Linked DNA regions of Lonchura striata. The protein of the gene in region 1 purifies or fractionates together with the protein of each later gene. This does not show direct contact. Links are inferred from orthologs where the notes say so. Each region holds a gene or a part of one and is shown on either strand. Other genes may lie near its edges. The genes, in order: LSM1 and LSM6.

Evidence for each region.
Region 2: the proteins of LSM1 (region 1) and LSM6 purify together in Homo sapiens (co-immunoprecipitation; 3 studies listed by BioGRID and IntAct, counting the BioPlex papers as one, with this or other methods). This does not show direct contact. The link is inferred for Lonchura striata from reciprocal best matches to the Homo sapiens genes LSM1 and LSM6.

What each region holds. Positions count from the first base shown.
Region 1 is NC_134634.1:4,382,357-4,397,687, reverse strand, and holds LSM1 (U6 snRNA-associated Sm-like protein LSm1), read left to right. Parts: upstream 1-10,405; 5' UTR 10,406-10,472; coding exon 10,473-10,518; intron 10,519-10,684; coding exon 10,685-10,753; intron 10,754-11,225; coding exon 11,226-11,341; intron 11,342-11,864; coding exon 11,865-12,035; 3' UTR 12,036-13,154; downstream 13,155-15,331. Other genes in the region: triacylglycerol hydrolase DDHD2, read right to left, coding at 1-65, 933-1,053, 1,542-1,631, 2,189-2,379, 3,426-3,609; BAG4 (BAG family molecular chaperone regulator 4), read right to left, coding at 6,929-7,414, 7,774-8,019, 8,728-8,967, 10,218-10,265. UniProt on the Homo sapiens protein: Plays a role in the degradation of histone mRNAs, the only eukaryotic mRNAs that are not polyadenylated. Probably also part of an LSm subunits-containing complex involved in the general process of mRNA degradation.
Region 2 is NC_134606.1:62,305,870-62,321,294, reverse strand, and holds LSM6 (U6 snRNA-associated Sm-like protein LSm6), read right to left. Parts: upstream 5,834-15,425; 5' UTR 5,798-5,833; intron 5,169-5,797; 5' UTR 5,150-5,168; coding exon 5,056-5,149; intron 1,937-5,055; coding exon 1,823-1,936; intron 312-1,822; coding exon 277-311; 3' UTR 135-276; downstream 1-134. UniProt on the Homo sapiens protein: Plays a role in pre-mRNA splicing as component of the U4/U6-U5 tri-snRNP complex that is involved in spliceosome assembly, and as component of the precatalytic spliceosome (spliceosome B complex).

The DNA.
Region 1 (15,331 bases):
GATGTCGCAGGCGGGGCCGATGCCGTGCACCACGAACACCAGGTGGTCGATCTGCAGCGGCTCTCCTGAGGAGGGGAGGCAGGCTGCTGAGGAGACAGCGCCCAGCAGGGACCAGAGCTGCTGGAGGCACCCCTGTGCAGGGCAGGAGCCTCCCACCCTCACCTCAGCCCATGAAAAGCCTCCTTAGTGCCTGATTTACACCTCAAGGCTGCTGGGATTTCTCACATTTCTTAGTTCTGTTCAGTTCAGCTGCCCTGGGATGGATCTGGACCAACAGGACAGCAGAGGAAGGGGTGGTGGCGTGTTCACAGGGAGGTGCAGGATTGGGAGGTCCCAGAGCAGCTGCCCCCTGCCCAGCCCACTCTGATGAACCCCATGGAGCTGCATCTCCCAGGCAGGCCCCAGGTGGAGTCAGGGCTTGTTCTCTACTTCCCACACACCTCAGATTGCATATGTGCCTTCCTGAGGGCACCCTTGGAAAATGGAGCAACTGCCTGATGTCCTCATGGGGACAGGTCCTGAGGCCTGACTGGGAGCTCAGGGCAGCTGGGAGGGACAGAGCTGACACTTGGCTGCAGAGATGGGGACAGCATGTGCCCCAGAGAGTCACCAGCACAAAGGTAAGTGACCAACCACTGTGTTCCCAGCAGGGAAAGAAACTCCCCTCCTGTACAAATCGAGACCTCAGGGGTCATTTCAGGCAGCACAGAGCCCCCGGAGCTCTGTCTCTGCACAGGAGCTGGAAGCTCACCACCCTCCCCTGGCTCTGCAGCTCGCTGGGGCTGGGGAGGTTTCTGAAACCATTTGGATCCTTTTGGCACAAAATGTTTTGAGGTGCATTTCACTTAAAGGATCACGGGAGCTTCCTTGTGAGTGATCAGGCTGGAAAGCTCTGCAGGGTTTTGGATGGGTGAGGGGAGAAGCAGGCTCACCACTGGGGATCTCCACAGCGATGTTGTCCACTCCTCTCTTCACCGTCCGGGGCCGGCCTTGTTCCGTGGGGGTGGAGACCCAGTCGTCAGAGCTGGCAACGGGATGGTAGTGAACCATCAGCTTGGGAACAAGAAGAGCCTGTCAGTGACCTGGGAGCAGGACAGCCACAGCAGAGTACTGAACCATCAGCTTGGGAACAAGAAGAGCCTGTCAGTGACCCGGGAGCAGGACAGCCACAGCAGAGTACTGAACCATCAGCTTGGGAACAAGAAGAGCCTGTCAGTGACCCAGGAGCAGGACAGCCACAGCAGAGTACTGAACCATCAGCTTGGGAACAAGAAGAGCCTGTCAGTGACCCAGGAGCAGGACAGCCACAGCAGCTGCCGAGTGACACGGCGTGGTATCAGACTGTGCTGGGCCCTGCCCTTTGTCCACAGAGGTGCTGGAAAGAAATGTGAAGCCGTTGGCAGGCTCAGCTGACACTGCCCTCTCCTCTGGCGCAGGCAGGTGAGTGGAATGGCTCTGGGACAAACCCATTTGAAGGGAGCAGCACAAAGAAACCCAAGGGTCCTGACTGGTCACCACAGAGACCACCCAGCCCTGCTCACCTTTGGGTTGTGCAGGATAATGACTTCTCTGTTGGGGGACTCCAGCTTCTTCTTCCACTCACCCAGGGTCACGGCAATCATGTAGGCTTCCTACAGAAGAGAACACCCACTGTGAGTCAGCTGGAAGTGTGCCCATCAATGTTCAACCTCTTGGGACATTCCCCACCCAATTTTCAGACTCTCTTATCAGTACTCCGCAAAAGAAGCAGAGAAATCAGCTGGAGGAGCAGCAGGGTCATCCCAGGATCACCTGCTGAGAGTGTTTAAGAGCTCCCCGCTTTGCCAGCAGCAGCATCAGACTTCCCCATCCCCTTAGAACTGGTTTTGGTACATCAGAATAGAGATATGGCAAAGATGGGTATTTTTATACGTCTGCCTATACATCTCTACATTTGCGTCATCCCAAAGGAAAGCCTGGCACTTTCAGGTGTGGTGGAAGGATGCACCGAGGCCGGACGAGGGCAGGGGAAGGGGAGGCCACGGCAGAGCTCACAGTTACATCAATCAGCTGCAGGAATGCCGTGCCAAAGCCTCTTTGGAGTTCACGTCCTCAGGCCTGCCTGTGGCCTTGTACGGGGTTTGGGACATCACAGGCAGTGTGTGACGAGGAGAAGCTGAGATGGAAACCAACAGAAAGGTGTGCTTACCTCCAGTTCCTCACTGAAGGACTCCGAGTAGGGAATGAACTTGTTGTCCTTGTCCCCCTTGTAGAACCAGGTGCAGCGCCGCACTTCGGCCGCCTCCTCCTCCCAGTACACGGCCACGCGCTGCCGCGCCCGCAGGTGCACGTCGTACCTGCCCCCCGAGGTGGGGACCACCACGCCATCCTGGTCCTTCCCTGTGGGAACAGGGCCTGCAGTCAATCCTGGCAGGCCTGGAATGCCAAGTTCCCGGAGGCTGCAGCACCACGGCCGGGCAGCTCAGAGCCACCGTGGCAGCAGATGCCAACGTCCTCTGTACCCGAGTTCAGAGAGCGCTGTCGGGTGAGACACCCCACGTCAGGCTTCCCCCAGAGGCAGAAGATGAAAACTTTACACTACACCTGTCCTTCTCTCCAGCTCAGGCACATGCTTACGTGGCCTCTCCCTGCCTGGCCAGGAGGGTAAAAGCGAAACTGAGGCCCTGTTAAGTGCATTGTGTAACAGTGGGGGTGCACCAGGGTCTCCTGTCTTTCAGGTGTTCCTCTCCGAAACAGAGAACTCTCTACAGACCCCAATACAGACCTCAAACTGTGAATTTCGCTGCCTGTGGGCTGGGCTGGTGGCACAGCACCCCGTGCCAGGCTGGGCCGGGCAGCAGCACCGGGGATGGGCAGCACAGCCTCTAATCTGAAAATTCCTGGGCGAGGGAGGATGGCAGCCGATCCTTGGGCAATCGGAGCTCTGCCTGTGGCAGCAGCAGGTGGCACAGATGGTGACATTTGGCACACAAGGGCCTCAGCACAGGGCTTGGAGCTGACCTCCAATCCTTGCTCTCATAGCAGGCACAGCTCTGTGCTGTGGGGATTCTCCCACTGGAATTCCTGCCATCCTGGCAGCGTTCTCCCCGCCTCACCAGAGGATGCTTTGCAGTATGATTATATATAATTTAGAGCACTATCAGTTGAATGGGGTCAGACCATTTGATGCATCCGAACAGCTCAGTTATTGGGAGCAGGCACATGGCCAAAAAAAGTCCCAAATTAAAACTCCTCCAGGGAAAACCTAGCATCCCAGGTGGAAGCCATGTGCGTGTCCAGGGACTTTTTCCCTGGTATCCAAGCACACAGCTGAAGCTCCCCCGCCAAGCCGAGCAGGCCCACTGCCCGGGGTGGCTCGGGAGCGGGGCCGCGGGACGGGAAGGCAGGACAGCGGCGGTGCCGGGGCCCGGCCGGTGCCGCCCTACCTGCGCCGTGCGCCTCCTCCAGCCGCTGCGAGTCCTGCGCGCTGAACGGCAGCCAGCGCTCCCGCGCCTCGGGCACCCGCCGGTAGAACCAGTGCGGCGCCACGGCCTCGTACCGCCCGCCGGGCTCCGGCTCCGCGGGCTCGGCGCCGGCCGGGGGCGGCCGCGGCGGCTCCTGCGCCGCCATGGGGCTGCCGCGGGCCGCGCCCGCTCCGCCGCACCGGCGGCTCCGCGCCCTGCGCCGCGAGCGGCCCGAGCGGCCCCGGCCCCGCTGCCCGGCGGCCGCCGCTGCGGCCCGGCTGGCAGCGCAGGCTCCGCTCCGGCCCCGCGACCGCCCAGCCCGGGGCGGTGCTGCCCGCGGCCCGCCCCCGCCGTCACGGCCGGGGCGGAGCGGGCATTGCCCGCAGTGCCCGCGGGAGCTCCGCAACCCTGCCCCTGATCCCCGCCCGCAGCCTCTGCCCTCAACCCCTCCCCGCAGCCCAGCGATTGCTGCCGCGATCCCTGCCCGGGACCTTTGCCTGTCATCCCTGCCTGTTATCCCTGCCACTGATCCCTGCCCGGGACCTTTGCCTGTCATCCCTGCCTGTTATCCCTGCCACTGATCCCTGCCCCTGTTCCTTGCCCGCGATCTCTGCCCGGGACCTTTGCCTGTCATCCCTGCCTGTTATCCCTGCCACTGATCCCTGCCCGGGACCTTTGCCTGTCATCCCTGCCTGTGAACCCTGTTCCCTGTCCGTGTTCGGGCTCATTCCCTGCCCCTGCTCCCTGCCTATGACCCCTGCCCGTGTTCCTGACCCTGTCCCTTGTCCATGTTCCCCGCCCCTGCTCCCTGTGCGTGTTCCTGCCCGTGTTCCCTGCCCCTGCTCCCTCTCTGTGACCCCTGTTCCCTGCCCCTGTTCCCTGTCCATGTTCCCTGCCCCTGCTCCCTCCCTGTGACTCCTGTTCCCTGTCCCTTATCCCTGTCCATGTTCCTGTCCATTCCCTGCCCCTGCTCCCTCCCTGTGACCCCTGTTCCCTGTCCCTGTTCCCTGCCCGTTCCCTGCCCCTGCTCCCTCCCTGTGACTCCTGTTCCCTGCCCCTTATCCCTGTCCATGTTCCTGCCCGTTCCCTGCCCCTGCTCCCTCCCTGTGACCCCTGTCCGTGTTCCTGCCCGTTCCCTGCCCCCGTTCCCTGCCCTCGGCAGTGGCCCGGGTGGGGGTGATGCTGGCCCAGAGCTGGCTGCGGGGCACTGGGGTGAGGGGAAATACCCACCCCCGTGCCAGCTGCGGCAGGAACAAACACTCCAGCATGGGGTGATTGCAGCAGAAACCACGCGGTGCTGATTTAATGTTTGTTTTTCAGTCCCTCTGTGACACTTTAGCCTCTGTGGTGATTGAGAAACTCCAGCACTGCTGGAGAAGCAACGGGCAACCCCAGAGTAAGAGTCTGGTTTCTGTAGAGATGAGCCCAGTGATAGAGACAGACTTTTTAATTTGGGGGTTGTGATGTGGGTGGATGCTGCAAGTGGATGCTGCAAGATAAACCAGTTGCCAGGAGCTGCTATCGCAGTGCTCACCGTGGCACAGCAGGGATTGATGAGGAAGACAGGAGGGTTGGGAGTGCTCAGTTCCCCAGTTCTGCAGCTGGGGCCCATGCAGAGCCTGCAGCAGCGGGTGCTGACACAGCTCCTGCCCGTGTCAGACCGTCTCCACTCGGATCATCCGGCCCAGCTGTGACACACTGGTCCTGTGTGGAGGAGGCAGCAGGTAGGGATGGGTTACAGCAGAGTTTCCTGCAGGCTGAGGTGTGGGATGTGTGCCTGATCCCTGATCACAGCCCAGTTTTGGGGGAAACACATGAAACCCAGCCAGGGATACTGGAGTGTCCCAGGCAGCCACGCCGTGCCATGGCGCTGTGGGATCCCCACGCCCTGCAATGATAACCTGCCATTTCAGCCCACTTCTTCATGTTCTCTCATGGGCTTTTCTCTGGGGATTTACGTAACCCTCTACCAAGGAGGCAGGGACAAGCAATATTGTTGAGGAATATCCTACCTGGATGGGTTCAGCTGATGGGGGAAGGGGGGGCACTCATGGAGGCTCACCAGCACAGTGGCAGGGCAGCACGCTCTGAGTGCTGTGAGTTACTGACCTCCCAGTACAGCCATGGGCCCCAGGAGGCACTGGCCAGGCTGGAAGCACAGAACAGCTCAGCCTGGCTGCTCCCTGCCCGACACAAAATGCAGCAGCAGCTGAGCCCTTCCCTGTCCCACGACATCCAGCTGGCTCCCAGCTCGCTCCAGACGTGGCTGGCTGTGCAGGCTGACCACACGTGGTCATGGACACAGCCAGTGAGCTCCAAAGGTCATCCTGTGCCCGCAGCCCTGTCTGGGAATGTGGGATCTGCCAGCTGCCTCCGGCTGACTGGCAGCACACAGAGCATGGCCAGGGCACTTCCCAGCCCCAGGCATCCTAAATCCCTTCCAGACCCTCTTCCACACCAGCCTTAGAGCCACAGCTGGAGGCTCCTGGAGCATCTACACTGCCTGGGAGGCAATGGGGCACCCTGGCACCCCAGAACAGCCTTCTCAGATATCCCATTCACCCCTGACCTCAGCACCACTCCAGACAGCCTGGAGTCACAAAACCTTCCCACCACTTCTCTTCAAAGAAAAAGAGACTTTGAGACATCTCAATTACAAAATACATTTCAAACTCAGGTGTCACACATAGCACTGAGCTGCTGTGCAGGTGGAAACCAGGAGGCTGGAACAGACAGCTGTTCCCTTCCCATGGTGCTGCACAGTGGGACACAGAACTCGCAGGATGGAGAGGGACATGAAACAGGATTCTGACCCAAGTGACCTGGAAATCACTTCCAAGCACCCTGGTTCTTTCCTTGACTTGCACTTCTCCTTTCCAGTGGCAGAACTGGGATTTCCAGTCTGTTCCCATGCCCACAGGGACACCCCACACTGGCCCTGCACCACACAGGAGGAACAGCACAACGTGACATGTGCCAGCAGAGTCCCTCCCTCCAGCACTTCAGTGCTGCTCCTTGAGTGCACCAAACCCTAACAACCCCTATGGGGACACATGAGGTTTATGGCAAGGGAGCTGAAGCTGAAATTACAGGCAGTGAGGACAAGCCCAGAGTCTTGGTTGGTGGCTGCACATTGCAGCACATCTGAGCAGTGTTTGAAGACTGGCTGTGGCTGTAGGAGGCACCCAGAGATTGGGCCCGGCCTGGGGAACTCTGTACACAACCCCACAGGGCCCCATCCTTGGCCCAGTTCTCCTCAGCATCCTCATTAAATACTTTTGCTGCTTCAAACCTCTTCTCTGTCCTTTGCTGAGTTGTTTGCTGGGGCTGGGCTTCTGGGCTGGCTTTTTGGTGGGTTTGATTTGATTTGTTAACTCCGGGCTTATTGCTATTCCATTGTCAATAGTGCGTAGCAGAAAGAGCTGAGATTTAAGAGAACTCTTTGGAACCTCAACCACAGGCTGTGTGTTGTGGTTCTTGTGCTTTCACAATCCCTTTCTTTCCAGTTTTTCCAGTATGGCCTGAATTCTGTGGACGGACTCTTTCCTGGCCTGCCGGACACTGTCCTGGCCCCCAGTCTCAACGGAATCCAGCTCCAGCAGCAGCTTGGTCAACATCTCCTCCAGCAGTCGGTAGGATTTATCTGTCTTTTTCCCTACAAATTCGTCCACCTCTTCCTCCAGCTGTTCAGCCTCCCCCATCACGTGGAGGATCCTCTGAATCTCCGGCTGCATGGCTGCAGGACTCGTGGCAGGCTGGTCAGCAGGTTTGAAGCCCAGCTCCTGGCTCCTGGCCATGGGCTTGCGAGCAGCGAGGTCATAGAGCTGGGGCTGGGCACTGTACTGCACCCGGGGCTGGCACGGGGCAGGCTTGGCCGCCCTGTGCTCGTTCACTGGCCCCGAGAGCCGCTGGTTGCCATCAGAATAGTAACTGTGCTGGCTGGGGCTTTGCTCAGGTCTGTAGACAGAGTCCTGCAGACAGAGGGAGAAAACATCTCTAAGTGCATTTCCCTTCAACCCGGAGGTTTCCGCTCTCATCCTGCGCCAAACAGCAGACAGGGCTGGGGACGCTGGGGACAGGGACCTGTGCTCTGCTCCCATGTCAGAAAGAGAAAGCCCAGCAAGGGGCACCTGCCCAGAGCAGTCTGAGCCCTGAACCCCCCAACAGGGCTGCTACTGCCAGGCACCAAAAACATGGAGTCACTTAATCCCTGATCCAACCTGGCCTGTCAGACCCATTTCAAGACCCACCCCAGGACATCTTGTCCTTCCAGTACTTTATGGAATTGCAGCCAGGGATTTAAGTCTTCTGCATGCACACAGGACCTCACCTGTCCCTGTGACTCCCAGGTGGGAGGGTGGGAAGCAGCCCCGCTGCTGGTCCAGGATGGGTGTGAATCCGAGACGTAGAGGCTGCCGTGCCCCGAGGCGGGCCAGGCGTAGCGAGGCTGCGCCCCATAGCCAGAGTGGGGGCCCCACGTGTCCTCCAGGGCTCTGGGCTGTGGCACCAGGCCCTGCCCCGTGAGCCCTGTGCTGCTGTCCCCGTATGGATACTGCGGCACTGGCATTCCTGGGGTCTGCACAGACAGGGAAACAGGCGTTACAGAGGGGTCACTGCCAGCCCTGCCCCCTCACACAGCCCTGGGAGCTGGGACGGGCATTGCAGGGGGGTCACTGCCAGCCCTGGGAGCTGGGACAGGCATTGCAGGGGGTCATTGCCAGCCCTGGGAGCTGGGACAGGCATTACAGGGGGTCACTGCCAGCCCTGTCCCCTCACACAGCCCTGGGAGCTGGGACGGGCATTGCAGGGGGTCACTGCCAGCCCTGTCCCCTCACACAGACCTGGACAGGCATTGCAGGGGGGTCACTGCCTGCCCTGGGAGCTGGGACGGGCATTGCAGGGGGGGGTCACTGCCAGCCCTGTCCCCTCACACAGCCCTGGGAGCTGGGACAGGCATTGCAGGGAGATCATTGCCAGCCCTGTCCCCTCACACAGACCTGGACAGGCATTACAGGGGATCACTGCCAGCCCTGTTCCCTCACACAGCCCTGGGAGCTGGATGGAACGGCTGCAGCTCAGGTTGGCTGCCCAATTCCCACTTTCCCAGCCCAAAAGCTGAGGGTTTCCAAAGAACAGGGTGACCACCAGTTTTGGTAAGATTAAAGCAGGCAGGACAAGACACTCCAGAGCCACGGGCACCCCCAGCCCACCAGAGCCTTTTCCCCCTGCACAGCCCCACGACACGTCCCGGGCACCACTCGTGCCGCGCTGGCAGTGCCCTTACCTGTGGCGGGGAGTAGCTGGGGGCCTGCTGCCTGCGGAGGGCCGAGCCCTCGGGGGGACACTCCGGGGGGCCGTAGCTCCAGGCGGGAGCGGGCGACGGGGGCCGGTAGAGGCCCGCGGGCTCCGGGGGGTAGGGGCTGCGCGCGGGCCCCGAGCAGTAGAAGCCCCGTGCCTGCGGCAGGCTGGCGTAGTGCGGGTACGGGGGGCTGTAGGCTCCGTTGGCATAGGGAGAATCCATGGCCTGGGGACAAGGGAAGAGCACAGGGAAGGTGACGGGACATGGACACAGGCAGAGGTGCTCCAGGAACAAGGTCTGGCCCTTCCTGCATTGAACCAGGGGGTTCCTTTGCCCTCAAGTGATCTGCCCCAGTTTTAGGCTTTCCTGGTCTAACCTGGCTGTACCAGGTCTAGCACTAAGCTTAACCAGGTCTTGCTCAGCCGAGCTGGGCTCAGGGGGAGGCGTGCAGCCCCTCACAGTGAGCAGCTCCTGGAGGATTCTATGCCAGTACTGCATCACTGACGGGAGGATGGAAAACTCTCCAGAAAAGTTCATTTCCCTGCTGATTCTCAAACAGACGAGCTCTGCCAGCCAGTGTTCAGCTCCTGGAGCTCCTAGAGCTGCAGCTCATGTGCATCTCTGTACGGAAGGTCTGCACACCCAAGGACATCCGAGGGTTTACCGGGATCCATCCCATGTTGTGTAGGGAACTCGAGTTTCCACCTGACAGCAGAGGGGATGTGAAGCACAGGCTTTCAGGAGCTCGGGGAATGACTCCCTGTACCTTCGGGCAAAGCAGTGTTCTGCCCCTGAGCTGCTTCCAGAGCGCAGGCTGTGCAGCCTGTGTGCCGGGATTTATGGAAGGGCTGGAGAAAAACCAAACCAAACCAAACCAGACCAAAGCACGGCTGGAGGGCAGAGCCTGCCCCGGCCGGGCAAAGCCCTTCTCGCCACACGGAATTTGCACGGCAGCCCGAAACGCAGCTGCCATAAACGCCGCAGGTACGGATCCGGGAATGCCCAGCCCCGTGACCGGGGCCCTCCCGCTCCGCAAAGCGCTCCGGGCCCCGCGTTCCCGGGATCCCCGCACGGCACAGGCGCCCGTGAGGCGGCTCCGCCGGCAGCGCCTCCCCGCGCTGCTCTCCGCCCCGTCACACGCCCGGAGGGCTCCGCGAGAAACCGGCGGGGCGGGGGAGGCTCCCGGGGCCCGCCCTGCGCGCCCGTTATCGGGGCAGGGCCGGGCCGAGCGCTGCCGCCCGCCCCGGGAATTGTGCCGATCCCGGGGCCGAGCCCTCCCGGGGCCGAGCCCTCCCGGTGGCCGAGCCCTCCCGGGGCCGTGCCCTCCCGGTGGCCGTGCCCTCCCGGGGCCGTGCCCTCCCGGGGCCGTGCCCTCCCCGGTGGCCGTGCCCTCCCGGGGCCGAGCCCTCCCCGGTGGCCGTGCCCTCCCGGGGCCGAGCCCTCCCGGGGCCGTGCCCGCCCCTCGCCCCCGTTACCTGCGCGGCCGCCGCGGGCGGGCCCGGCCCGGCCGTGCGGGGCTCCATGGTCGCCGCCAAGGCCACGCCCCCGCGCGCCCCGCGCCCAATCGGCGGCCGCTCCCCGCCCTCGCCGGCCAATCGGCGGCGGCCCCGCGCGCACGGCTGGCGCGGCTTAAAAGGGCAGCGGCGGGTGGGCCCCGCCCGCGCGGGCGGTTCCGGGGCGGCGGCGGCGGCGGCGCATGGCGGCGCTTCCGCTGCGGGCGCGGCGGCACCATGAACTACATGCCCGGCACGGCCAGCCTGATCCAGGACATCGACAGTGAGTGTCCCGGGGCGCCCCGCCCCGTCCCCTCCGTGGCCCGCCGGTGCCTGCCCTGCCCCCGGGTCCTGCCCGCGGTTCCCCGTGCGGCGCCCGGACCCCTCTCCCCGTAGCGGGTCCCGGAGCCGTGGGGCCGTGGCCGACCCGCCGCTCTCCTTTCCCGCAGAGAAGCACCTGGTGCTGCTGCGGGACGGGCGGACGCTCATCGGGTACCTGCGCAGCATCGACCAGTTCGGTACGGCCGGGCCGCGGCAGCGCCGGGGATGGCGAGGAGGAGGAGGGAGCGCTGCTTGCCAGTGGGCTTGTGCTGGGGGTTGAACCCCCCCCTCTGTCCCCTGGACCCCTTCTCCCACACCTGGGAGCTCCCCGTCCCGCCCTTGCATCCAGTGCTGGCGCTCTGGCGTCGCTTTCTGGGGAGAAGCAGCCGGGTGATGTTATGTTCGTCCTCCGGGTGATGTTCATCCTCCGGCCAGCACCCCGAGCTTGCAGCACCACCATCGCCATCATCTTCTGTGCTGCGGGGGCCCGGGTGGGCTCGGAGCCGCGGGGTGGGGACAGTGTCGGTAGCTTCGGTGACCCGGCTCCGGGCAGGCACCGAGCGCCAGGGGAGAGCCAGCGCCGGTGCTGCTCCGGTGGGACGGGGGACACTGCTCGGCCACAGTTCGCCGTGGAACGTCGGTGTTTTTCTCTCTGTCTCGTTGCTGCAGCAAACTTGGTGTTGCACCAGACTGTAGAGCGCATCCACGTGGGCAAGAAGTATGGGGACATCCCCCGGGGCATCTTCGTGGTGAGGGGCGAGAATGTGGTGCTGCTGGGGGAAATTGTAAGTGCTCGGCTCCCGCTGCAGTCTGGGCCCGGGCTGGGGGGTTGTGGTCTGCCTGTCTGTCTGTCAGCTCTGAAATGCGGTTGCTGTTGTGGGCTGGAATCGGAGCCACCTCCAGGGCCAGTTTAGGCTGAGCCAGCACAGAAATGCCAGCCTGCATGGCAGGGCAGCCTCCTGCTGCCGCAGCCCCTCTGGGATGACACCAGAACGAAGAACAACGCAGAGGGAGCTGTGGGGAAGCTCCAGCTTGTGTGGCACTGCTGGAGGCTGTCATGCTGGCTGCCTGTTACCTCCCTGCAGACACCACCTGGGATGGGCTCAGGAGGAGCCGAGCGCTGTTTGCTTTGGGGTGCCCAGGAGCCCCTTGCCAGGGCTGTGCTGGGGATCCCTGCCCACATCCCCAGCCCTCAGGGCGCTTCCAGCACCTCTGTTCTCTGTCAGCCCCACCGCTGGCTGCCGCGGGGGCACAGGTGCCCTGCGGTCCAGGGACGCTGTCAGAGCTGAGGGCTCGTTTCTCCTGCAGGACCTGGAGAAGGAGAGCGACACGCCTCTGCAGCAGGTGTCCATCGAGGAGATCCTGGAGGAGCAGCGGGTGGAACAGCAGGCCAAGCAGGAGTCGGAGAAGCTGAAGGTGCAGGCGCTGAAGGAGAGGGGCCTCTCGGTGCCGCGGGCCGACACGCTGGATGAGTACTGAGGTGCTGCCCTTTCCTGCAAGGAGCGAGGGCTGCTCCAGGACCTGCCTGGGCAGGGACAGACTGCCTTGGAAAGGCAGGTTTCATTTTCAGATTGTATTTTCTGTGGTGCTGGTAACTGCACACAAATCATGCCCTTAGTCTCCTTCTGGAGAAGGAGATGAGGAGGGCCCAGTGCACTGGGAGTGCAAGCATTTGTGTTTGGGAGGCAAATCACTGCTCCTTGGCTTTGTTTGCTTTTTCCTCCTCACGTGACTTTGGGTGAGAGTTTTCCTTGACATGTAAATAAATCCTTGAACCTGACATTGATGGCTTTCCGGTATTCTGGTCCTGGCAGTTCCCCCTCTCTCAGGATGAGCACTCCTCAGGCTAGCTCTTGTCCCCTCTGTGTGCTGTGCAGGGACAGACAGGCCCCCTGGTCCAGCCATGGGCTGGGCTCACTCTGAGAGAACACTGGAGCCCAAGGCAAGATCCTGCTCTGGGCTGGGGAGCAGAACCTGGGTACCCCCGTACCCCAACACAGACCACTCGTACCCCCCAGCTAGGCTGTGCCACTCCCCTGCAGCTGAGCCTGCTAATTACCAGCTGAAAGCACTAATTACCTGCTGGTGAAGAGCTGCTGCACCTGGGACACGGCAGAGCCTGGAGCTCCAGCCCCTCCTGGCCTCGCTGCTGGGGGAGCTGCTGCAGCTGTACCAGGCTGGAGAGTCCTTTGCCCCGTGTGTCCCGGCCCTCCCTGGGGAGGAGAGTCCTTGGCCTCGGGGCTGGCTTTGGGCAGCTGCCAGGCCCCAGGAGCCTCCTGGGTGTGGGCAGGGAAGGGCAAACCTCGGCAGGCACAGTCCCTGTGGAACCTCGGGCAGTGGGAGTTCTTTGGGTGAAGAGTTCCTGCTGGGGGGCAGAGAACAAACAGCTCTGCTTGCTGGGGCTGAGCACAGCTGCCCTGGAGAGCTGACAGCTGTTGTGGCCACTGCTGGCCCCCTCTCACTGGCCCAGGGACCACTTGCTTTGGTGGGAAACATTTCTGCCCCGTTGGGCTTGAGTGGGTGTTGTGGATAGCAAAAGTTTAAACAAAGAAATGCTATTTCTTGTTCTAACAGAATTTAATAAAAGGCATTTATGGAGCTGGCGCCTGTGGCTGGAAAGTCTCTGGCAGGTGGGGATGGCTCTTTGGGGGTGTTTTTGCTGTCCCTGTTTGTTTGGCAGTGTTTTGGGGTGAGGGGGGATCAGGGCAGCGATGCCTGGGGGGAGGCAAGGGCTGCCCAGCCCCGGTGGTGGGGTCCCAGCCCTGCAGCCCAGGGCTTTGGGGGTGTGGGGAGCTGGTGGGGGTCAGGACATGGGCTCACTTTGCTGCTCTTGAGCCCATTATCTTATCAGGGCGTCGGGTCGACCTCTGTGGCACCAGGGGCTGTGGTTTGTCTCTGCTCTCCAAATAGCACCACAGGCAGCCTTGGGATGGGGGGACACCCTGGCCGGGCTGCTGCAGGAGGGACAGGGTCACCCCGACAGCCACCTCTGCTGCAGCCCTGCTGTGGGAACGGGCTGGGAGAGGGGAATGCGCTCGGAGGGGGCTGGGCTGGGCAGGGTGGGGGGTCAGGGCACCCTCAGGGCTCTTGGGTCCCTCAGCCTCCAGGCCCTGGTGCGGCTCCGGTGCCTTTGGTTGGCATCATTGTGGTTTTGTACATTTGTGAACGTTTGTACTTCAAGCCCTATTAGGTGAATGCAAGTGGAGCTGTGTGGTGACTTTGTGCAGGAGCCTGGGGGTGCCTCAGGGGGCTGTGGGGGCTGGGGTGTCCCAGTTAACCAGATCCCCCTGAGGGTTCTGAGTGCTTTTTGGGGTCTGTGTCCTGCTTTGGGGTGTGGCCACCTGCAGCATTTCCTCACCAGCACGGTGTGGCTGTGCCCGTGTCCCCTCCTGAGGGCACAGCTGGGGTCGTGCCCCTCCAGCCCGGAGCCAGAGGGGCGGCTCTGCACGGTTTGTTTTGGTTCTTCTCACAAACAACTGCGTGGCCTTGTGCCGAGGCCGGGAGCGGCGGCTCCATCCGGGAAAACAGCCCTGGATCACTCAGAGCCTGGGGCTCCCCGGGGCTGTGTGTGCCTGCTCCTGGGGCAGGGGACTGCACTGGGATGGGACTGGGAGAGCTGGGGTGGGACTGGGACTGCGAGGGCTGGGGCAGTGCACAGCACTGGGGTGGGACTGGGAGGGCTGGGGCAGTGCACAGCACTGGGGTGTCTCTGGTGGCCCCAAACACCCAGACCTGTCACTGCTCTGCGTGTGCTTGGCCAGAGCTCTGGGCTGGACACTCCTGGCTGAGACTCAGGGGTTCCAAACCCTCCTGGGTCTCCCTCTCCCCATGTGCAGGGAGATGGGAGCAGGTGGGTGAAGCCCAGAGGTGGGGAGAGCTGTGGCATCACCCGGGAATCACACCTGTGGGAGCATGGCTGCAAAGAGGAATTCCCAGTAAAGGTTTTGGAAAGGGATGGTGCAGTTTCTGCCTCCTCCTGATGCCTCCAGCACCTCCCTCTAACCCCACACTGCTGACCTGAGCCTGAGGTATTTTCTGGCACACAGTGGAGGATGGCAGCCCTGACAATACAGAGGAACATCCCGTGGGGCAGCAGGACCCTTCTGGAGGGCAGGTGGGACTCAAATCATCTCAGGAAAGCTGGGGACAGGCTGGGGGAGACAAAGGGCTCCCTGGGGCCGGGCTGCTGGCACAGTGAGGGGGTGACCCCCCCCGGGCCAAGCTGTTGAAATGGGGGAGCAAGGTCAGGCTCCCTGCAGGAGGGTGCAGGGGCTGACGTCAAAGGAAGCAGCTGTAATTCACAGGTTCCTGGGAGTGCTGGTCTCCAAGCCGTAATTCATCCCAGAAATGTCATTTCAGCCTTGAGCATTATCGCTGCTCTGCTGTGTCCCACTGCTGGGGCAGATAACGGGGCCCAGGGAGTAGGGGGCTGCCTGGGGCTGCCCCTCACTTCAGTCCCAGGCTCAGCAGCTCGATGTATTTCATGTTGTGTTTTATGGGCTGTCCTGGTTCTTGTGCACAGCGTGTGCAGAGGCTCAGCCTGGCTTGTTATTCCGCAATAGTTGTGCTGTGAGAGGGTGTCATCCAAAGTGATCCCTTATTATCCATTGTTACCCATCACATTTGGACTCAGTGACCTTGGAGGACTTTTCCAGCCTCAATGACTGTGCCACTGTGCTGGTCTGTCACCTGTCACAGGTGGTGATCATGCTGTGAGCCCCAGGTCCATCCCTGCAAGGACGGCCTGCCAGGCAGGGCAGGAGCTGCTCGGGGGG
Region 2 (15,425 bases), on another chromosome or scaffold:
TTTTTGTAACTGTTAGCATAATTAAATGAGCTGTTGCTTCAAATTAGTCTTGCAGCACTATTACATGCTCCTCTTTTATTCCTTTTCTGTACAAGGGAACAAAGCAATGCTTTGAAACAAAAGCATTGAGGCAGTTTACACTCATGTTTACATTTATTAAAAAAAATACTTATACACTTGTGTATTTCACCTGTGGATTTTGAACTACAAATCAAGTAGGGCTCATCACTTCAAAGAGGTTCACAAGTACAAAAAAACAGCCTCCTTCTGGCATCTTCACATCCTCCTCTTCTGGGTGCTTATGTACAACACTGTGAAAAAGAGAAAGTGGCACACAGAGGAGGGCCCTGGTAAATAACAAGCATAAGCCTTTTTATTTAAAACATCTTATTTCCATGGCATATAAATTGACACTGTAAGAGATCCCATTCAGCATGAACAAAGCCAGGCCACCTTTAACTCCAGGTTTCAAAAAATGCCAGTAGCTCTAAACATTATGTATTACTTTGGTTCAGTATTTATTTTATTCATAGCCCAACTATGCTCCAGCAGATGTAGGCTGAACAGAGCAGGACCAAAGGCAGTGCCCTGCAGTGTTACTGAGGAGAGCGTGAGAGAGTTCCTCAGCAGCAGAATTACAGATGTCAGACACTAATGCTGGGATCTTTCAAAAAAAGCTGGAAATCCCAAGCACTTAAGGCAAAACGAATGATTAGTTATAAAGGAAGAGACATCTTCCTCCTGCTTGGCTGATGGCATCCCCAAAACAGATCCAGTCACAACATAAAATGATATTGTGTCCTCCTAAACCTGCCACATGTCTTCAGTTCTCTGTTCAGCCTGTTCTTGAGCCTTCTGCCTCTCATCCACTTGTTTTAACTTTCATAACAGATTATTTCCTTAATGGATTCTCTAGCTGAAATGTCACTCCAGTTCTTAGCATAATAGTCCAAATGCCTTGCCAAAAACAAGGGCTGGAGGATTATTTTTCCACCCAAAATGCTCTTTTACACTGGTACCACATTCTCTTTGACTCTTTTTCTAACATGGGATTCAGCCCTTGTGTCTTTTGATTCCATCCCTTCTTGCTGAGCTCCATTTTCTTCACAAGCAACTTGGTCAAACTCTGCTTCATTTACCTCATCTACAAGTCTCTTCACCTCCAACTTGTGAACCTTTTCTATTTTTAGATACTCTCCTTCCTGGCATGTCCTGCTATTACAACCTGATACCAGAGAGTCATTTCAGGAGCCTGGGATTGTTCTTGAAGTGCACTAGAATCCACCTACTGCACTTGGATATCCAAAGGCTCCATACTAGAACATGAGTGATTTTTTTGACTGGTGGTAAAATCTTTACTCAAAAGATTAAAATAGCCTCCAGGACTAAGGATAAGCATTCATTCAGTCCTGGAAAACTGCTTCACCAGAAAATATTTGTGTCACTATAATATCTGCATTGTAGCATGAACTTATGCAGTAGCTTGCCTACATACCACAAACTCTTATGGTGCAGAGGTCATCTAAGCAAGGAGTAAGTGCAAGAGAGTAAGGAAGTCACAGAGTAGAAAATAAGCTCCAAGAAAGCTAGAAAAGAGCATGCTGCTCTAAATGAACTTCAAGTTCAGAAGAAAAAACAACCACAGGAATGCAGAAAAGCAGAGACCCTGGAAAGTGAAACTGTAAAATGCAAATATTGTAAAGATTTCGAAGAAAGAATATTAGTTTAGGCTTACAGGCAGCTTACTTACACCTCAGCCATCCCTCAAATTCAGAATATCATAACACAATTTCTAACGTGCAGTAACAGGAGTAGGAATTACCATTATTTCCTCGGATAAATGCATCCCCGTACTTGTTCTTTAACTGTCCATTTACATATTCCTCAGTCTGCTCCAGAGCTATGTTCATATATCCATCCAGGCAAGCCAGGACACCTGAAAAGAGTGGCAGTTTAAGAGAGAATCAGCTTGAACTTATTTTAAGATAAACAAAAATGCTTTGTGTTTGAATAGTACAGGAAAAAAGCCTACCCTGTATCCTTATAACAAACTAAAAACCCAAGCATGGAGAGATGTCTTCAAAGAATTCAGCTGGGAGAAAGGAATCCCATTATCTCCGGTAGCAAAGTTATCAGTTGGTGTAAGAGTTGTGGGAGTAAAGAAGTTATTAAGGCATTATTTCAAAAGATGGACAATTTCCATTTTGAAAGTTTAAGCTGTCCTTTCTCACTTGTGTTTTAAGCACAAACCAAAAAAAAACACCTGTGGCATTAAGTGTAACAGGATAACCTAAGGACAAAGCTATGTAAACTGGTTGTCAACAAAACTTGTGAAGGATATAGCTGAAAAACAACCCTTTTAATACAGGACAGCAGACACATATTTGTCTTCATGCTTACAGAGCTAGGAGAACACTGCAAGTCTGCTTTGATGTCAACAAAACTCTACACATTTTTCAACAAAGGCCACTGAAATATTCAAAATAAATTATTCTGTTTTGATAATGCAATTAAAGGAAAAAATATGTCATTTGTAATATTAGACAATTTTCTGGATCAGGAATATATGCATTTTAGGAGGACAGAGGTAATACAGCTTTTTACAAGTTGTTTCATCTTCCTCTTGCATGTGGGTTTTTCTGTCTTTATCCTTGCACAGGATAAATAACTTTTTACTTAAATAACTTTTTCCTCTGTTTGAAAAACACCTAGCTATTTACCTGGCAGTAAGACATGAAATATAGTGTATTAGCTGTACTTAAGAAGAGGGAGAAAACTCAGGACATATTCTAATTTTTCAGAAGTGTTACTGCAGGATCGTCTAGTTAATAATCAGGAATTCAACTTCTTTACCAACTTGTCATGGCTTAAAGGTTATTATTTTCCTTTCTGTTTTTCTCTCCTCTGTTTCCACAGACAGGAAAAACTGCTCACAAAGTGCCACTAAATGCAGCAAGAAGACCAAAACCAAAGTCAGGATTCTTTTCCACTCCAGTAATCCTAAGGGATCCACATAGCACAGGATGCAAAAATATGTTTGTACAAAATTAAAACTGGACCATGTGGATTTACCTGAGCTACATACAACTTAGTAGGCCATAAATGCAGTATTTTCAAACTCTTTTGCTTCGAGAGTGCATTCATGGTTGTTTCATTCTCTTCCTCCTTTTCTTTTTGTTTACTCTTACATCACTAATGGCATCAAATATTATCACTGCCCATCCTGGCTAGCAATTTATCTCTTTCATCTGTATGTAGAGATGTTTTAATGTACATATCCATATTGACACACAGAACCATACATTAATATACCCCTGATCGCTTCTCAGGGCTTCCTGTCTTGGACATTTGCAGCACCTGGCAATGGCTGAAGACAGTTCAGTTACACATCAACACTTGCATGAGGTGTGTGTGTGTGGGGCCTCCGAGGGTGGAGGCAACAAAAGCATCAGCAACACAGTCTGGGGAAGAATCTGGACAGATCTGCAACAACAGCCCGAGATGCTGTTTTGTAAATATTTGGCTTTTACAAATGCTGGTCACATTTCTCCAGAAAACAAACTAAGTGCATATTTTTCAGATGAAAACACTACACAGATTTTCTGTCACAAGATCAAAGGAGTGCAGGGAAAGAAGGAAGGGAAGGACAGGAAAAATCCAGTAACAAATAAGGGTGTTCAAGGAACTCTTATTCAATTAATGTGATGTGGTGTCACACAGTAGGCACATTAAACTAGCTTTGCTGAGGGGTAAGTTGGGTCGTTAATCTACAGCATTTACAAAAGGATCTTACCAAGGGAGAGGTAGCAATGGTCTCAATGAAAATAGGAAGTGCAGCAAAACCCAAATCTGGTTTGGCCTTGCCTTCTGTGTACCCTCAGGTAAATGAGGACTTGCTTTAATTGACTTTAATGAGCTCTCTCTACATTCTCCTGCACTAAAGAATTTACAGAGAGGCAGCAAACTTCTTAAGCCCTCAAACCCACCTGAAGTACTCAGACAATGTGGTTCTCAAAAAAATGAGAGACTGAAAATTTTGCCAGCTGATTGACACCGCAGAGAAACAGGAAGGAGTAAGATGCCACTGCTTGCTCAGTCAATGAACAGTAACAATTTAATATTGTCCTAGCACAAAGATTCCTCGTCAGAGCACGAACAAGTCTCTTCACACAAGTGCCAATGTAAGCCACTTGAGGTAAACCTCTCTGAAGAAGGGGTCTTTTGCAGAACCATAAAGTTTAAGTCATTACAGAATAAAATTTCTTAACTGAGCACAGCAGAAGATACATGATTAGGTCTGACTGAGTTCGGATACTGCTAAAAAAATTGGTCAGAGTGATCCCGTTATCTTAATGGGAGCAGGACCAGAACATTTCATTGCACAGAGTTTTAATTTACTGGTTAAAAAAAAAATCTATAATTCTATATACATGAAGGTATACTGATAGATTGAAGAAATCAGGAATAAAACTGATGGGCTGTGTTAAAATGAAGCTTGCAAAAACTACACTAAACCTTTTCCTGTATCTCTGTGAGCCTTGGTCCAGCACAGGTCCAGGCAGTTGTTTAACCAAGAATGTCAATAATGCTTTCATCCCTCATGTAAGAATTCTGTTGTGACTGACAGCATGGTTTACTCTGAAGTTTTCCTGGATCAAGATCTGTATTAACTAAATAGAGAAAAAAAAAGTTGAAGAAAAGCCTAGTACATAGTTCCAACAAGGAGTGTTCCTGGCCATTTCAGGAGTTGTAATTCCAGACAATCTTTCCAAGTATCAGCTTAGAAACTCAAAATCATCCAGTTTACCCACCTGTGACCAATGACACTAATAACTTAGATCAGTAATTTTAACCTCTAAATCCACTGTTGTTACCCCCTCTTTTTAACACTTTCTCCGGAGTTGTTTTTCTATTTTGCCATCACCATTCTGAGATATCTATCCTCATACTCCATGATTCTGGATCACACTGCCTTTCTTTTCCAAATCAATGCATCTATTCCAGCCTCCTCAATGAACTACTTTACTCACTGTGAGAGACAGATAGAGAACTTACCTCGATAATCAACTCCAGAATTTAATTTTACAACAACTGGCCTTCCAATGATTTGTTTTAGGAAGTCACTGGGGGTTTGCTTCCGTAGACTCATCGTGATCTTCTCTGGTAAGCTAAGAAGTGAAAACATTAGGATAAGAGACATGCCTCCACATTGTTTTAAATACTCTGTACAGACAAGCAGACCCCTGATTTGTAATACTTTCCATAAGAGAAAGAGATTAAAGCAAAACTCTAAAGGTTGAGGTGGGGAGACAGAGCTCCTAAAGCCATTGCATTCCACTTTCCCTTCGGCATTTTTACTCCTTCTGAAAGCATTACTAAGAATCTTTGTTTGCCACACTGTGCAGCTTTTAAATTTCAACAGTGCCAAAGGCCAGAGACAGAAAACCCGCACGGTGCCGGCTTCATTTCGCTGCTTCCTGGGGCAAATCCAGCCGTGAACCCGGGGATCCAGTTTCCCTACCGACACCCACCGCCGCCAGCGATGCTGGCGCCCAGGGCTGCGCCCCCTTCCCGGACCGCACACGCGTCTGGAGCCGCTGCCCCCGGGTGGAACCCTCGCGTTCCAGCCCGGCCGGAGAGCGCGGCTCCACGGCAAGCCAGCCCGGGGGCGCAGGCGGCCCGTGACAAACCAGCCCGGGGGCGCAGGCGGCCCGTGACAAGCCAGCCCGGGGGCGCAGGCGGCCCGTGACAAGCCAGCCCGGAGCACACACACGGCCCCGGCCGGGCCCGCACTCACCGCCGCCACCGCCTCTCCCGGCGCTTCCCGCGCCCCGCCCCGCCCCGCCCCGCTACGGCGGCCGGGCGGGACGGCCCGCGCGGGTCGAAGGCGGGACGGGCCGGGCGCGCCCTCAGGGGTCTGGCCCCACCCCGCGGTCTGGCGGGGGGAGTCCCGGCCCCTTCAGGGCGGTGAGGGGTTTTTATGGCTTGATTGGGATTCCGCGCGAAATAACACCCCATCGGAGAGAAATCTTGCAGTGTGGAAGGTTTACAGGGTGTCTTGTGGGAAAAAGCCCCGCAGGATCAGTGAAGTTGGGAAAGGCCTCAGAGACCAGCGAGTCCAAGCGCTGCCCAGCTGAGGGCCGCTTCCAGGCTTTGCTTTCCAGTCTCCTCCAGGAATGGTGACCCCACCATCTCCCTGAGCAGCCCATTCCAATGTCGAATCACCCCTTCCATGAAGGAATTCTTCCTGATACCCAATACGGTACTCATTATTATATTCTATTCTAATGAGACCCTGCTAATTCTCAAATGATCTTGTCCTTATCAGAGACATAGTGAGCACCTCACAGGGATCTGTCCAGGACCAGCCAGGGAAGTGCTGAAGGTCATTTCACAGAGGAATCAGTGAACACAGATAAGTTTTGTTTTTTTTTTTAAGTCACCTGGGAATAACTTGGCATACGAAGAAACTGAACTCACCTTCTACTCTTCTGCTTCTCCCCATCATCTCACTTGTTTTTCCTCCTTTCTCGCAGCTATCCCCTGATGTCTGGAAAATACTTCAAATACTTATTTTTTCTTTCTTTTTTTTTTTTTTTTTTTTTTTTTTTTTACGATTTCATACTATGACAAGAGTTAATAATCTGTGAAAGCTTCTGGACTGCTTTGTTTTGTTGGGTTTTTTATCTGTCCTGTATTGATTTAGTATCTTGTCAAACCTCTCAATTCTCATGATACAAAGAAAATGTACCATGGCTTTTCAGAACACAGATTTGTATTCTCACTTCTTTCTGGAGTTGTTTATCTTCTCTTTTTGAACATGTGTCCAGTAACAATTTTTTCTCCAATGCTTAGACTAAAAGGCTTTTAAGAGGCAAGAGCTGCAAACCTGACCTTATTCACCTGCCTGTCCCAGAGTTCAAGCACAGGCAGGGACAGGGAAGTTTGGCCACACTGTGCTTGTGTTTCCAGGCAACCGTCATGTTAATCAGGAGCATCCAACTGTGCTTGATTATATCTAGTATTTGAAGCAGAAAAGGAACATAAAATAGTTACTCCAGGGAGCAGACTTGCAAAGTTTTATTTGGCTTCCTGGCTTCAGTGAGTAATGCTTTGATAAGGGAATATTTCTGTTTTCATTGTTATTAATCTCCAGTATAAAGATTTGGCAAATAAAGCTTTCATGTCTGGGCTGGTAAATTTTCATGGCAATTTTGCAAATCCAACCAGGGACACCTTGTTTTGTAAGCCTTCCTCTTTGTTTTATTTCTTACAAGTTTGCCTTCAGAGCTTTTATGGGGTTTTTTGAGCCATCAGAAACTGATGAGCTGTTTTGCTTTCTGCTCAATAGGCTGCTTTCTAGCTAGCTGAGGCTTACACTTAATTACAGTTTCTACCTGTGTGGATACCTTGATTGTCTGCTGTCAGTCAACAAAATCAGTGTACTTTCCTGCTTCACAGCCTGTGAACCTCACAAACAAACACATCAGATTTGAATCCTGGGCATTGAGACTGGTGAGTTCTGTATCCTTAGCTCCTTTCTTCCACAGTTTGAGACCAAGTCATGAACCTAAATCTTGGGTAATTTTCCTTGGTGTGCCAGAGGTCTCAAAGTGCTGTCTCATGTGCTGTTCCTAGAGGTAAATTAGTCTTAAATGGAATCCTTAAGGTTCCAAATCTCCAAAAGTGAAAATAAAATTCAGATGTCATTGGCTGATGATTATCTTTTGTTTGTTTGTCCTCTAGATGAAAAAGTATTTTTATCTAAAATGTTGCATACCTGGATGTCAGTAGATTGTTTTAAATACTGCATTGCTTTATCCTTTCCTAATGTACCATGGTAGAGCTTTTTCAGCTGTGTAACTCATGGAAATCAGCGAGATGCTGCCCTTGTGTTTTAATCAAGATGAACTTGAAAGGTGAACATTGTAAGTGATAGAAATTATTTATAATTTGGTAATAAAAGTTTATGTCTAGCACTCCAAATTTCACACATCTGCTATGTGCTGGCCTTGAGATAAAGAACAATTGCAATTGCCTTTACATTTGGCCTCAGATGAAAGGTCATAAATTACGATGATAGAGTTCTTAGTCGTTCCCAGCTCACAAAATTTCCATATTAACATCTTCACCTCAAACATAAATGGTTACGTAGTTACAAAGTAAAGAGTTGTATTGGCCTTTGTCAACTGAACTTTAAGATGGAAGTCTGTGGATCTATTGCTAACTCTTAAACACAAAGCCTCACAGAATCCTTGTTCAGAGGACCTAATTAAAACTTTACCGTTAACTTTAAAAATTAAATGGGATTTCACTTTCACTCATGCTCTCTCTCTTCTCTCTCCTAGCAATAAAACCCACTTTAAAGTTAGGAAGATTTTTCTCTCCCAGCTACTTGAAATAAAAGCATTTTCAGAGTGAGATGGCTACAGAACACAGAATGGGTCAGAAGGAGCCTTTTCCTGTGAATTGCACATCGTTTATATAAGTTAAGTGCAGATCAACAACAATCCAGATGACAAAAGAATGTCTGTAGCCCATTTTGAATTCAACCTAACAATCCCCAGCTACACCCAGTGGATGAATAAAAGCCTCAATCTTTAAACAGTTCTCACCTGAAACTTTTGTCAGAGAGGACAAATCCATTCTGGCCCAAATCACAGCATATCACATGATTTTAACAATTAACTTCAGTGTCTTCTTAGGTTCGAAAAAGAGGAAATAATTTTTTTTTAAGTTATGTAATAAAGTAATAGACAAGATCAAGTTCCAAATCCAGGGGAGCATTTCTTGTTCTCTGACGGGAGGTAGAAGGAGGTATCAGCCTCCATGAAATAGTGTTGATATGGAGAAACTCTGCAATTCAAGATTAGCATTGATATTGCAGGGTTTCTTGAGGGCCCTGAAGTAAACATGACAGTACATTTTTGGGATTTGAGAGGTGGAAGGCAAAATTCTGCTCTCACTAAAGCCAGCAGAAGTTTTGCTAATTACTCCTCCATTACTTAGGATACATTTGTGAGTTACTGAAAATACAGCTGAGGTCTCAAAACCTTCCTTCTGGAGCTGTGTTCTTTCACTGTGATTTATGCTTCTTAGAACTGTCTTCTTCTGATGTTCTGAGTGTGAGGAATAAGACATTAAGGAAGTGAAGGGTGCATGAAGAAGCAAGAGAAAGAAAGGAAGTATTGGGACCTTCTTCCCTTTCCTCCTCTGCAAACTTCCTGGTGGACAAGGAACTGTCAGCAGTTCTTCCAGGGAGCTGGGGAGAACAATGTTAGAACTCAGAGGCTTTCTCTCTGTCTCCTACACTTTCAGTTCCGTCAAAAGGAAAGGAAGAGCCTCAGAAGCTTTCAGAGTTCACTTAACCCCCTCCGAGTTCCTGGGAGTGCTTTGCTTCCCAAGGGCCCGGCTTTTTAATGAGTATTAAGAGGTCTGATATTCCCCTTTGGATGCATTTGGATGGGAGAGTTCAAGCCTCCCAGCATGTGAATGATTGTATGTGCCTATACAGTAAAACTTCAAAGATGTTTTTCTCCATAAACAGAGGCTTAGTTATCCAGCATTATTTCCCATGATGTGCTAGGATCATCAGAACTAATAATTTCCTTCCATGTTCTCAACTAAAAAGTTAATATATTTTTGAATGGAACCTTACTCAAAGTAGTATTGGGTTTGACCTATAGATTTTAGATAGAAGAGCCTAACAAAATTCTGTCATCTTCAACTTCTTATACTGTGCTCACCCCCTTGGGATGTTCATCTCCTCCTATATGGCTTAAGTGACATGATGACCTTTTGTCACATATTTGTCTTTCCTAGTTTCTGTCCAGTTAAAATATACTGTGACAGATCATGTCAGGTTTGTGTTTTCTATTAAACAAAGGCTGGAAGCCCTTCTTGATTTCTTTTCGCACCACTTAGCTAGATTTTTTTTCTAAAATATGATAGAGTTGGAGCAAAGCCTTTTGTGCTTAGACTCTATAGAATATTCACATCAGGGTAAAGACACACTCTAAATATTTTGCTTGTGGAGTATCAATTCCAGATTACATTCAAATGTAAGCTTCCCCACATGCAGTTTGATGAAGCTGATTCAGTACTTCAGGTTGAAAACTCTGATATCAAGTTTAAGCAAAAAAAGGGGTTGAAGTGGTAACTTTAAACTCACCTGCTGGTGCAAAACATTTGCAAAGTTGGTTCCCAGCTCCCTAGAAATGCTTCTGATGCAGACTTGGGGATATGAAGTAAGCATGAGTCAGATGTGTAGTGTGGTAATAACGATATATACCTTGTCCTGATTTTCAATGGAAAAGGAAGGTTAAAGTGTGTTCAGCCACCTTAAACATGTAGAATTATGGGGATTATGTTATCATCACCACTTACTAACAGGAGAGCTCAATAACTTTAAAAATAAAATGCAATTTAATGTCAATGTTAGGCCACTCCTAGAGCATTTGTGAGCTGGTATTTTTCAATAGGCCCAAATTTCTGGCTATTGACTAAAAAGTCATTATTTTGTGAAGGGAATGAAAGAGAATGCAATTCTTTTGTAATATAACAACAAAATCAAAAGGGAAGATTAGAAGGCTGTATCTATATGAAATAAATGGTTTTGCTAGGAAAATAATAATAGCATAAAGTTTCATGTTAAGTCAAAAGTTATTTTTTCACAGAATACATTATACAACTCTCTTGTCTTTTTAACTGTAATATAAATTCAATGTATACACTAGTGAAAGTAACGATTCTATCTATAAATAGAGATCTGTCAATCTGGTATGACTGCCTGTGACCCAGTCCTCGGGGTCTGCAGTTTCTGAAGTAGTATAACCTCAAACACACTGTTCAGATCTGATTCCCCGGTGTTCACACATGCCAGAAAATATTCCTCTATACTTTTTTCTTGTCTGGTTTTACAAGAAAAAGTATATTCCTGGAAAAATTACATAAAACAATATTGATGGTTAGGTACTAACTCTTCCGGATCTGCAATAGCAGGTTTGGAGAAATGCTATCTTCTAAGAGAGGGGAATGATGTGGGCAACTGACTCACTGTTCCACAGTGTGGTTCACACCTTTCAGGCAAAACTGCCATCTGTGCCATCAGTGCAGCTCCATCTCTCCAAGGAATTGTAGGAGCTTTAGGGCAAAAAACAACAACCATCTTTTCTCACTCACCTGATCCTACCTGGAAAATTGAGAGGGAAGTAGCATAAAGTGCCTGTAGCCATCCAGACCACCTGGCATTAGAAATCTCACTCTTGCTGCTGCTGCTGGACCTGCATGGATGTTGGAAACAGTGGAGAATTCTACAAAAGCACTCAGCATAGACAGGGTTTGTGACAGTGGAACTGCAAAGGTTCAAAAGCCCCTTGTGAGCAGAAGACAGATGATACAGAAGCCTGATCAGTCCTTGCAGGCTTTTGAAGCCAGGAAGGTGTTGGCAACATTGCTGTAAAACGGGTTATAAATCCTTATGACTTGGATCGTTAAAGAACTACAGCTCTCATTACTCTCTCTGCAGGGACTTCATGCTACAAAGAGGAAGAAAATCCTCTCTGCTTCCAGGAGAAAGTAGAAGGTGAAGAAGCACACTGCATTCACATGTTTTTTCTTTGGTTCTTGTTCCATTTTGCTGCCAGCTCCATTGAGTGGCACATGTTTTTGGTTTCCTCCATGATGTGTGCAATCCTCTGATCTTACCTCATCAGATCATGTCCCAACTGTGTCACCTCTTCAGCTACTACATTTTTCCTATGCATTCACCTGCCTCATCCAAATAATTTCCTTTCTTTTTTTTTTTCTTTTTCTGTTTTTATTTTGTTGGGCTTTTTTTCCCCACCATGGCTTTTGCCCGCTTGTCTTCTTGGGATTGACATTACCAATTGATTTCATATAATGCACATTGGACAGCCTAAATATAAATTCCTGTCTCTGGATGTAGAGTTTGGACATTAAAATCAATGCTTGGGAGGTGAAAGGCTTCATTGCCCATAAATAACTCTTAAAATGCTCATTTTGGCTCCTCAGAGTATCAACAATGGAGGATATCATTTGAAAGATGAAATGTGAAAATACACATGCTATGCTCACATGCTTAAGTTTCCTCAGCTGGAAGGAATTCTGGTGGAAATGGGAAATAACAATGAATTTGTGTTTTTGCACAAAATGGATAAGGTGATTTTTAATTTTTTGTTGTAATAATAAAGAAATATCTGTGATAATTTATCCCATTGTTGAATTATGAATAATAAATTAATAACCACATGCTGTGTAAACACCTCAGAGTTACACCAACAAACAGTGCAAATTTCCAGTTTGAAGTTTGGAAATGAGCAAGTCAAGCGTGGGACAGGTTAGTCCAGAGAGGGAGGATCTGCTTTCACTTCTGCTGCTGAGCTACTCTCAAATGTTGAGGCAGCTCATCTCACCTCTCTGTGTCTCACCCTCTCCTCTGTAAAACAGCAAGAATGATATATCTAAAGTGCTTTCAGATCAATGGATGAAAAGTTTATGTAGTAGGAAGGTATTATTAAGATCTTAATGATGCCATGGGAGAAAATGATCAATAATTATTTATATTTTCCTTTGCTGTTTAGGAGGTATTTTTCTACTGACTGTATTTTCTACAGTCAAGTGCATAACAGCTGCGTCTTGCAGAACATACAAGTCTTTTTGTATCTGTATTATATAAAGATGGAAAACAGGTTAAATTCTAGTATGTCATTTCTCTCAAAGCTGGAGGGCCGAAGTCAAAGAAAAATCTAATGATTTACTGCATGAACAAATGCTATGATTAGCTATGCATTACTATATTCTACAGGACTGTATAAGCATGCTTTACTCATCCTATATTTTAAGATTGAATATTTTTAGGAATTCAGATAAAAAAGATTGCTTTCAAAAATTGCCCCACATCAAGTAACCTATGTTTAAGGAATTGTGTATTTATTTTTAAAGTAACCTCATTACTACCAAACTACTTCTTCCTTTTGACAGTAAAGCAGAGTGCTTATCTTCCATATTTTCATAATGAAAGCTCCCAAGCACAGGATACTGTGGCAGATTTACAGCCTTCGAGCAGCAGAACTGACAGGCATTTTAATATGAAAGGAGATATGGTGTCTTTAATGTACAGTGATGTCACTTCTAACAAGGTAGAAGTGTGCATTTTGCACTGAAATCACTGTAAGAAGTGAAACCTGTCTGCTTCAGGAGTCACCTTTTAACCTAGGAAAATGTCACAAATAATAGAAAAAAGACAGGACTCTGCTTACTCAGGTGGAAGGGCACTCTGACGTTGGAGGAGCAAGGCTATTGTGGATGTGCATTATCTCCAGGAAGCTGAAGCTACAAATAGTCTAGCTCGAGCTAACCTTGAGAACAGAAAAGGAAAGGATAATGAAAATCCTCAAGGGAGTGTTAAACTGAAAGCCAGATTGCCTGTTGACCACCCTTTTTCCTTTTATCCAGCATTGATTGGACCTAATAACTTGAAAGTGATATTGACAGCAATATAGTCCACATATAACCTGGACACATGATTATTTCATTGAGAGAAAGGATAGGAACCCAGTACCAAAAACCTATTTCATTCTACATTAGACCAGAGAATTTACTACTTTGTCTAGGAAATATTTGCCAGTGATTTTAAAGGCTGATTTAAAATGTGCATTTCTTAAATGTACTCCCAGTTCCTGACTGAAAGCTTTTATCATGTCATTCTCAAGACGCACCATTCTTAAACATCATATACAAGAACATAAGATTAAAAGGCCATAAAATGGCAAGAAATCTCAAGGTCCAATAAGTACATTGTGCTAGCATTAGGCTGGTGACTTTGATTAAAGACAGGAAATTAAAATACGTTGTCACATATATAGAGACAGTATCTCCTGAAGACAGTTGCTTCCTCCAAACTAAAATTTCAGAAAATCAACTTTAGATATTATGTCCTTTGGTGTTTTGGCAGTTCGATCTTGAAGGGATTGCAATAAGGAGGAAAAGAGCAGCATAAGAAGTAATTATATTGTTTTCTATTATCTTTGCAGAAATCTTGATTTTAAATGAAACTGGTTTTCCAGAGCCTCTCAACCATCATGTTCTCCTAACCAGGGTGCTGGGGCACAGAAACAGCGACAGTCAGGTAAGGTAAAACAAGGAGGAAATCACAGCTTTGAACAGTTAGTACAGTGTTATCCCCAACATGATGCATTCACGTCAATACAGCTGTGTATCTCTGTGTCCTGCAAAATCAGAAATGATGATTGACCTCATGAGGATGCTTGTAATATCCCACTGCTAGCCCTTCTGTTCTTTTGAATTTAATTTTTATAGATTAGTATATTTTTAGGAGTGATGTGATTGGTTTTCATTTACTTTGAAACAATGGTCTCCCTTCCTCCCTCTTCAAAATGGAAGAGAAATTGCAAATTCAAGTTTACATATAGAAACAATCAAGTCACATTTCAGTAGAAAATGTCAGAAAAACTGACGGTAGCAGTGAATTGTTCTCCCCATTTTAAGCCTGTTATTCCAACAGCAAAGGTACCTTTTGAAGGTAAGTCGTGTGTATGCTTAGAGTTATGATAATATTTCAATTATATTATCCAGAAAGTAAAAATACTGGGAAATGAGATACAATGTGATACTGCTGTAGATCCATAGATCCCTATAAAAATAAATCTGGTGTCAGTAATGTAAGGTAATGGTTTGAAAGGCCCTGCAATAACTTTTAAAGGTCCTGTGTCTGGAGAGGAAAGCGGCTTGACAGACACAAGTCATGAACTGCTTTGCTTTCCATGCTGCCTTATATCTGTCAATATATTGGTTATGGAGCTGTGCTGAGGCCAGTCTCCAAAGGCAGACTGTCACATTTCTCAAAAGATAAAACATCCCTAAGGGTACAAAGAATCCAGGGACACAAGCTGATAGACAGGAGCAGTGCTGCGACTCTAACATTTTATGGCCGAGTTCAGCGAGTGAGCCCTTTACTGGATAATTGAATTGATGAAAGGCTTACAGTTGCCCCGATTAAGCTTATTCCTTCTCCATATGCAAGACTCAGGATAGTTTAAGCAGAAATTGAAGAAGAAATTCAGGAGAGAGGCATTCATAAGCCCTTTGAAAACTGGTCTCACATGAAAAGCTTTCCATTTGTTATGTTACATGTGCTGTTTGTCTGTAAAAAGAATCCTGTTGTCCAAGAAGTGCTATTTGCAGCAGACTTTTTTTTCTTCTAACTAAGGGTTTGTAAATATTTTTAGAACAGGTCTTGCTGCTTCATGACTCATTCCCCTTACGATCTTTGGTATTTTTCCCATTTGTGATCATGCAGCATCCCTGTGGCATATGGTCACCTGGGAAAGTATTATTAGGGAAGAAATTAAGGGATTTTAGCTATTTTTAACATTTCTTGGAAG